2 linked regions of the Caenorhabditis elegans genome follow. The protein of the gene in region 2 binds, or shares a complex with, the protein of the main gene of each other region. Each region holds a gene or a part of one and is shown on either strand. Other genes may lie near its edges.

The links.
Region 1: lit-1 (region 2) and wrm-1 share a complex: the UniProt entries of both Caenorhabditis elegans proteins name them as parts of the beta-catenin-lit-1 complex.

The regions. Positions count from the first base shown.
Region 1 is NC_003281.10:5,720,974-5,724,897, reverse strand, and holds the start of wrm-1 (Armadillo repeat-containing protein wrm-1), read right to left. Parts: upstream 2,049-3,924; 5' UTR 2,016-2,048; coding exon 1,991-2,015; intron 1,940-1,990; coding exon 1,832-1,939; intron 1,289-1,831; coding exon 1,116-1,288; intron 1,059-1,115; coding exon 675-1,058; intron 486-674; coding exon 1-485. UniProt on the Caenorhabditis elegans protein: Antagonistic role in the Wnt signaling pathway that operates in embryogenesis. When located at the cortex it has been shown to inhibit Wnt signaling during asymmetric cell division but when relocated to the nucleus it shows positive regulation.
Region 2 is NC_003281.10:13,711,747-13,715,670, reverse strand, and holds the start of lit-1 (Serine/threonine kinase NLK), read right to left. Parts: upstream 1,627-3,924; coding exon 1,487-1,626; intron 1,114-1,486; coding exon 995-1,113; intron 174-994; coding exon 1-173. UniProt on the Caenorhabditis elegans protein: Has a role in the Wnt signaling pathway controlling the asymmetry of cell divisions during embryogenesis. Operates in the AB and EMS cell lineages influencing cell specification.

The sequences.
Region 1 (3,924 bases), 8.0 Mb from region 2:
ACTTCGTTCTGCATAATTTGATGAAAGAGGCTCACAACACCAAGACGTTCTGACATATCTTTGATAGTTGCATTTTTATTCGACAAATTCTTAATAATCGATACACAAAGTCCCTTATTCTTTGACTTCGTTTCCGGTCTTCTCAGGTTTCCAATTGCAAATTCAATTACTATTTTGTGAAGACGTCGATGTGCTGGTGACTGTTGAGTCTCATCTTCTCCAAAGAAAATCTTCATGAAATGAGGTTTACAACAAAGATGTACGAGCAGAACCATAGCACTGGACTCGAATTTCGTGTCAAGTTGAATGGCACGTGTCATCACGATCTCATAGATACTGTATGGCTTTGGTACATTGAACACAGGCGGCCCATTGGGATCCATTAATGCCGCATTCAGTCGGAAGAACATCCTGTCGATACGTCGGATTTCCTTGTTGGAGAGAAGAATTGAGTGGTGGAGAATTTCAAACGCTTTCCGGATTACCTACAAAAAATATGGAGTTGTCAAACGATATTTTAATACATCTATATATATTTTTTTTTTTTTTTGAAAGATTTTTTTAGATTTAGATTTTAGATTTTTAAACAATATTAGGCTGTAGGCATCCACTTAGGGATGACGATGTTCCTACCTACCATGAAAACCTTCAACGAACATTTATGCAAAACTTACATTCTCATTCTCAACTGGCCGAGGAATAAGAACTTGAAACAGAGCTCGAATAATCGGTTCGGCTCCTTTAGGTCCCCAGGTTTGCAACATTCCACCAGCTTTCACAATTGGCTCCAAAGCTCGAATCGCTGCTGCTTGATTGATTAGTTCCGTTGATTCCAGATTCTCAATAATCTCGGGAGCTGTCATCGGATACTGTCGATTCGTCGGATCCTGATTCTCGGAAACCTGCGATACACGTGTCAGTGCTCGCTGATATGGTGCCTGATTGACAAAATTGTTGAATTCACCCATTTCAGTGTTGACTGAGAGCATTGACAATCCACCGTACGAGTAGGCGGTCATTTCTGACATATTCGTCATGTGAGACATTGTGGAGCCGATCTGAAATTTGATTTTATTATCTGTTCAAGCCGCGGAATTCTTATAAAAATCTCTTACCACACTCGGAGGCCTCGAAAACCTTTGTTGTTGTCCTGCCATCTGCGGCGGTGCATAGGTACCCTGCATCCAAGCATTTGTGTATGATCGCTTTCCCACAGCAGCTTCCCGGAGTTCTTGCACCCGAGAATTGGACGGTTCCATGTTCTGAGGTTGAGCCTTGAACGGCGAACCTGAAAAATGAAATATGAATATGTGAAAAGAGGTATGTAATTTGAGGGAAGTTTCCAATGGGGAACACATAGACACACGAGACATACGAAAATGGAATGGGGGAAGTGATAAGGTGATGTGATTGGAGAGGGTCGAGAGAGAAAAGGGCGCGAAATGGCCTTTTGGAATATGTTATCGACCAGGAAATTCTTGGATTAATTGTTATGCAAACGAGTTTTTATTCAATCATTCTAGATCAGGGGTACGCGGTAATTGAGCCAGTGTGGCATGTTTTCAGTAGAAAATAATATTTGCTTTATCTGAAGATAACTTTTGTTTCAGTTTGAGAAATTGAAAAAAATTTTCGATGATTTGTCGAAAATTTTGTCGGGCAATTCTCAACTTTCAGACAATTTTCGGAGCACTTTTCAATTATTCCAGCTTAAATGAAAGTAATTCTCAGATTACAATAATTCTTTTCCGAATATTAAAAATCTTAAGCATAAATTGGCCGCTTTTAATCTTTTTTTCGAAGTAAAGCCAAAATTTCATATCTTTCTCACCTGAATATTGTCTGGCAGACATTGTAGAAGACGGCCGAACTGGTGTTGAAACTCTCGATGTTGACGGAGTCATCGGATTGAAATTCAGCGGAGTGCATGGTTGCGAGACTGAAATTTTATTGATTTTTTTAATAATTATTATTTCAAGGGGGAACCTACATGTTTCTGCGCAATCCACATCCATTTCAGATGGGTGGTTGCAGGTCCGTTGAGGAACCTGAAACTAAGCTAAAATGAGAAATTTCGATGTGAGAACCTGAGAAAACGCCATTGATGAGGGGAATAAAGGAAAGTAATCGGATGTGTGTGGAGATTTCACAAAAAAATGAAGAAGTTTCAAGAGAAGTTAAAAGAATTACGAACTTTTGGATTTGTGAGAATTGTATCTAATTCTTGCAGCAACTAGAAAATATTTTAAAAATTGTTTAATTTATGAGTTTTTTGAATCAAAGCAATAGTTTTTTTCTCAATTTTAATATAATTTACAGAAAAGTTTAAAAAATAATTTTTTTCATTTTAGAAAATAACTCAGAATGCTGTGCAAAAGTACAAAACCCCTTTCCTATTGTCTTTCGAGCAACTGCTATTCACACCTTCCAAGTCAAACATACTCAAGTGGACACTGAGCTTTTTTCAATATTGACAGACTTTTTGACACCTTATTCTATTTTTTTTTTTCGAATAGTCAGCCACTTGTAGAAAATTTTGAATTTCTGAAACATTGGTGAATGGATAATAAATGCAAAACGATCGGGGGTAACCAATAAATCAGTTCATATGGGTATATACTCTGTGGGGGGTCAACACTTGAATGCTGTTCAAACAGCAGGACGAACGGCCAGTTGCAAAATGTTTCGGGGAAATTTAATCCGAAAATAGCGGAGAGAAAATTATTCCTATTAAATACGTAACTCACAAAGTTTATCAGTAAGTTTTGCGATGAAAAAAAGATTTAAACTGATAAGAAGAATGGCATCGCCCGTCCGAGAGGAGTACACAGCCGGTGGCCTAGAAACCTCCGCGCCGCGAATCAATACATTTTGAATTCGATTGAAGCTTTCAATACTGAAAGTTAATCTAGTGAATAAATCAAAGAAAATGTGATGCCGTTGAGCAGGAAGTTTACTTCGAAAGGCCACACAAATGTTTTATGTGAAAATTTCTGGATTTGGGATTAAAGTTTTTTATTTAAATTTTAATCAAAACCTTGCGAGTTAGCTCGAAAAAAAGGAGAAGCATTGGCGAATGGATAATATGCACCTGCTCAGGCTGAAGGGAATCAGTGTGTACACGACTCGTAGAGAAAGAGACAACAACCAACTAGTAATCAATCAATTTGACCACATTATTAAATCATCAGGCGTGTCATCGGAGACAAAAATGTGACGAAGAAACATTTGAATCTATGACTTTGAGGATATCAAGTGAGGCGTGAGGATGAGAAGAAGGAAAAGAAAAAATGAAAGCCGGATTTAGGGGAATTGAAAATGAACCGGAAATTGGAAGAATCAAGAGCAGCGGCGAGGAAAAATCAATTTTAGAGAATTTAACATTTTTTTGTGAAATGCAAAACCTGTTTTTTTTTTCTTTTTGAAATTCTGCTAAATTTCAGTTTTAACAAAAAAAACTGATATTTCACTATTTCTGGCCGAAAATCTGCAAAATTCCTCAATTTTCACCTCTAAAAGTAGGGTTCAAGTCAAAAATTGCATTTTTCACATGATTTATGTTGATAAATCGGAAATTTTCAGCTTATTCGTGTTGTTGAAAATCAACTAACTTTGAGTTTTTTGTTTCAATATCGACAAATCGTGTTCTAAATGATTCCTGTGAATTCGGGTACAAATTTGAGAAATTTAAAACATAATTTGGCAAAAAATTTACGAAAAATACAGGAATTTTCAATGGAAATTAAAGGCAGAGAAATAGTCGAAAATTTTGCAGAAAAACCAAAAAAAAATTGGCAAATAAAAGCAACTGTTGCACCTGTTTCCCACGTTTTTCTCCCTATCGCTTCAGAAAACATCTGTCTCCATATGTTTGCATAAGCGTGAAGATTTCGAACGGAAGAACGTCGATTCAAGGACACTTTC
Region 2 (3,924 bases):
GTCAGATCGTGGCACAACTGCTGAATAGTGTGGTTGTGCCGCTTGCGGCTGATGATGATTGTGATGGGTGGCGGCAGCGACGAGCTGGTACTGTACCGATGGGTGAAGCTGCTGGTGATGTTGATGGTGAGCGGCGACGGCGGCCAGCTGGTGTTCCGGTATTATTGGGATTGCTGAAACAATTCTTGATTAATTATTGAGTTTTTCGGAAAATCCTCTGAAATTGGCTAAAAATTAGACAATTTCATGTGAATTATATGAAGAGGTACTGAAAATTGTTGAAACTTTGTTTTTTTTAATGATAAATTTTACACATTTTTTAGCTAACAAAGCGAAGAAATTGAGCAGAAAAACAAAAATTCGAAACGAAAAAACAAAAACTTTTTTAGAATTTCTCCGATCGTGACGAGACCTACTGCAAGAGACAGTTTGGGCGCCTTTAAATCTTACAGTACTGAACTATTTGAAAATTCGTGTTTCGGGAGCAAACAATGGGGTTTGGAAATTTCGGTTAGAATGAACATTTTAAAATAAAAAATTTGTTTCAATTAAATATTAAAAAAAGATATCTTAGGCACGAAAATCGAGAAAATATTATAAAATGTATGATTTCTCGAATCGTGGTGGAACCCAGTACGAAACTAAAGGTATGCTCCTTTAAAGTTTACAGTACTTTTAATTAATTTTCATTTTTCGATCAATAATTCAACGGTTAGGTTTAAAAATTAATTATCCATTTTCCAAACTAGTTTAATTGTTTAAAAAGAAAATTTGTAGACAAATTGAACTGGATTATAAAAGCAAATCAACTCTAATTCTAATACAAAGATTAGCGAGCGTTATTTTTTTCACATGAATGAGCGAAAATCTCAATTTCTTAGCTTATTAAAAAAAACAATAGGGTCTCCCAACGAATTCCACAAAGTTCGTGGCGAGACACACATTTCCGGACATGTAAAACTCAATTTGTTTTAATTTTTCCACAAAAACACACCCTGACTGAGAATCTGTTGCTGTCGGGATATAAGTGCGGCGTGTGCAGCTGCAAGATCGTAGAGCTCTGTAGATGACGAACTACAGCCGGATGAACTGCTTGATCCTGGAATTTCTGGACTTGAAAAAAAGAAAGAAAAAAGAAAGAAGAAAAAAGAACATGAAAAAGTGAGGCGGAACTAGTGTTATTCATTCATGACGAGAGAGGACGCCTTCTTTTTTTTTTGTTTTTTTTCTAGAGAATTCTGAAAAAAAGGAGGAAATAGATGAAGAAGGAAATAAAAGTTGTTCTCCTCTCGGAAAACGAAATTGTGCCAAATTTATCAAGCCAACAAAAAAATTTCCAACAAAAAAACCAAAAATGGTTTAATAACGAAATTTTTCAATGTATTATTTTCAGGAGAACTGCCTATTTAAAATATTTTATGATTGACAAATTTAAGCAATACAGAGGCTCATAATGAACATTTTTTGTAAACATGTGAAAATTTACTCGGGGAAAAGGCACCCGCAGAATTCGTCCTCCGTGTCTTTCTGAGACGAGTAGAAGGAAAGTGAATCGTCATCATCTTCTTCTTGTTCTCGAGAAATATAGAGATAGTACGCATCCTTCCCCCTTCCCCACGACACCATCACCACCCAACACCGTCTTCCTCAATACGCGTCTACGATTCATCTCGGATCTGTAGGCGAGTGAGCGAGCGCGCACGCACCCCTCCACTGTGTGTGTGCTAACAGGACTGAGAAGAGAGACCTCACTACCTGTCGCCACCAGGCCCCCGGTACCATGTACGTTGAGGGTGATGACCCCGACCTCCCCAAGGACCGTCCCTCGGGATTTCGAAATTTTTTATTACTCTGTTACTTTTGGGGAACGGGAAAATAACAAGAACTTCTGATATGTTCTGATATGAGGATATGTGTGCGCCATGTGAAAAATTAGTTATATAAATTGCTAGCATATATCATTATGAAGACTAACTTCAGAATATCACATTAGAATTAGTAGTGGTTCAGACTTTTTCTGAATTCCCGGAAAAAGTGTCCGGGAATTGAGCAGAAAAGTACACATTTTCTAAAACGAGGCTCCTCGAAAGATAAGGACAACTAATTTGGAAACACCTTATTCTGGTACTTTTGGGGGCGGGGAGAGGACAAGGGAGTAAAGTAAAGCTGGAAAACAAGTGCTAGCATACAGAATAATGCGAAAAATTTACAATTTCATTGGCAAAAAATGAGGAAATGCAAATATCGAGGAAAATTATAAAAGTTCGTGGTGATTTGAAATAAAAAACCACTAAAGTACCAAAAAATTTGCCGTGGCAATATGGCAAAACTTTCAACAAAAAGCATACTGTATATATGAGAACGTTGACTACAGCTGATCGCGAGTAGCAAACTATGAGATGCACAAAGAGCAAGAGAGACGAGAGAGTGTGTGGCAAGGAAAACGGCCACCCAGCAGCAGCAGCAGTAGACAGACCCCCCCCCCCCCGCGAATTCGAATATTATGTAGCAGTGGTCACTTTCTATTCGAGATAGTCGGGCGAGACACAGAGAGCACGACGGCGTAGAGAGTGGTCAAGGGTGTGGAGACGCAGAGAGATACGGAACGCACTCTCATACATCTGACTGACCACTCAAACGGACGCAGAAGACCGAAAAGCTGCGAAGAAGAAGAAGCAGAGATGTGCTCCCCTAAGAACCAACTACTACTATTACTACGATGTACCCCATCCCCGTTTCATTTGGAATTTAAAATTTTCAACAGGGGTGTCTGTTGTTTGGCATGCTGACAGTTGGAGCAAGGATGTCGTTTTTGGCAACAAAAAATCGAAACTCTGATTCTCCAGAATGTTTGTTTTCTCAATTTGTGGTGCCCCTAATCGGAACTTTCTCTAAAAGCCGGGAATCTGATTCTCCAAGTTTTATGTTCGAAATTTCTGAGCCAAAACTCAAACAAAAAACTTGGGAAGTCTGAAATTTTGTAAAACTCGAAGAAAAAATCTAACAGATCCGGTTCTACAGATGTTGTAGTTCCTTTACATTGTGGGCTCTATCTACAAAATCTGATTTTTTGTTTTTTATGAAATATTTCATATGAAATGAAAATTTGATCCGAAAATAAGAAGGAAAATTAGCAAATTTGATTCTTAAAAATTTGCAACTCACTAGACTTCGTAAAGTTTCTAATTCCCAAATTTTTCTGACAAATTATCGAAAAATAACACTGGTGAATCTGACCCTTCGATTTTTTTATTTCTCTATTTTTGTAGGGCTACGATATAAAAACCAGTTTTTTTCCGAATTTTGATGAAAATTTGCTGTGAACTCTAACTTCATACTTACTAGTTCGAACGAATAAAATTCCTGGAATCCTAAAAAGCATCAGAAAAGACAAATCTTGAAAGTTTCCGAGTGAAATAAAAAGTTCGAAGAAAAGCCATAACACACACACACCCACATACATATATATCCAGAAGACGGCTATATATGTGGTTGTTGTTGTTATTGGGCACACACGAGACATAGCAAAAGCAAGCAAGCAAAAAAAAAATAGAACGCCGCCGACTGCTTTGACGACTACTATACAAGGACGCGGAAAAGCAACTGCGAAGAAGAAAGTGAAAAAAAACAAATAAAAATTACGAAAAAGTTAAAGGAAAGTGATAAAAAATTGAACATTTTCTATTGGAAACCCAACGAATTTGAAGGAAGACATACCTCGAAGATTCAGATTCATGAGGTTATTGTTAACTTAATCATTTTAAAATAAAAAAGAGCTTTTAATTAATTTGTGTGACCAATTAGTTCATCTTGAATTTTTCTGAGAGGGGCTTAATTATCTATGCGTAAAATTTGGGCTTTCAAACGATTTTTTCCGGCAAATTGCCGGAATTGAACAAATCGGCAAGCCGGCGAATTACCGAT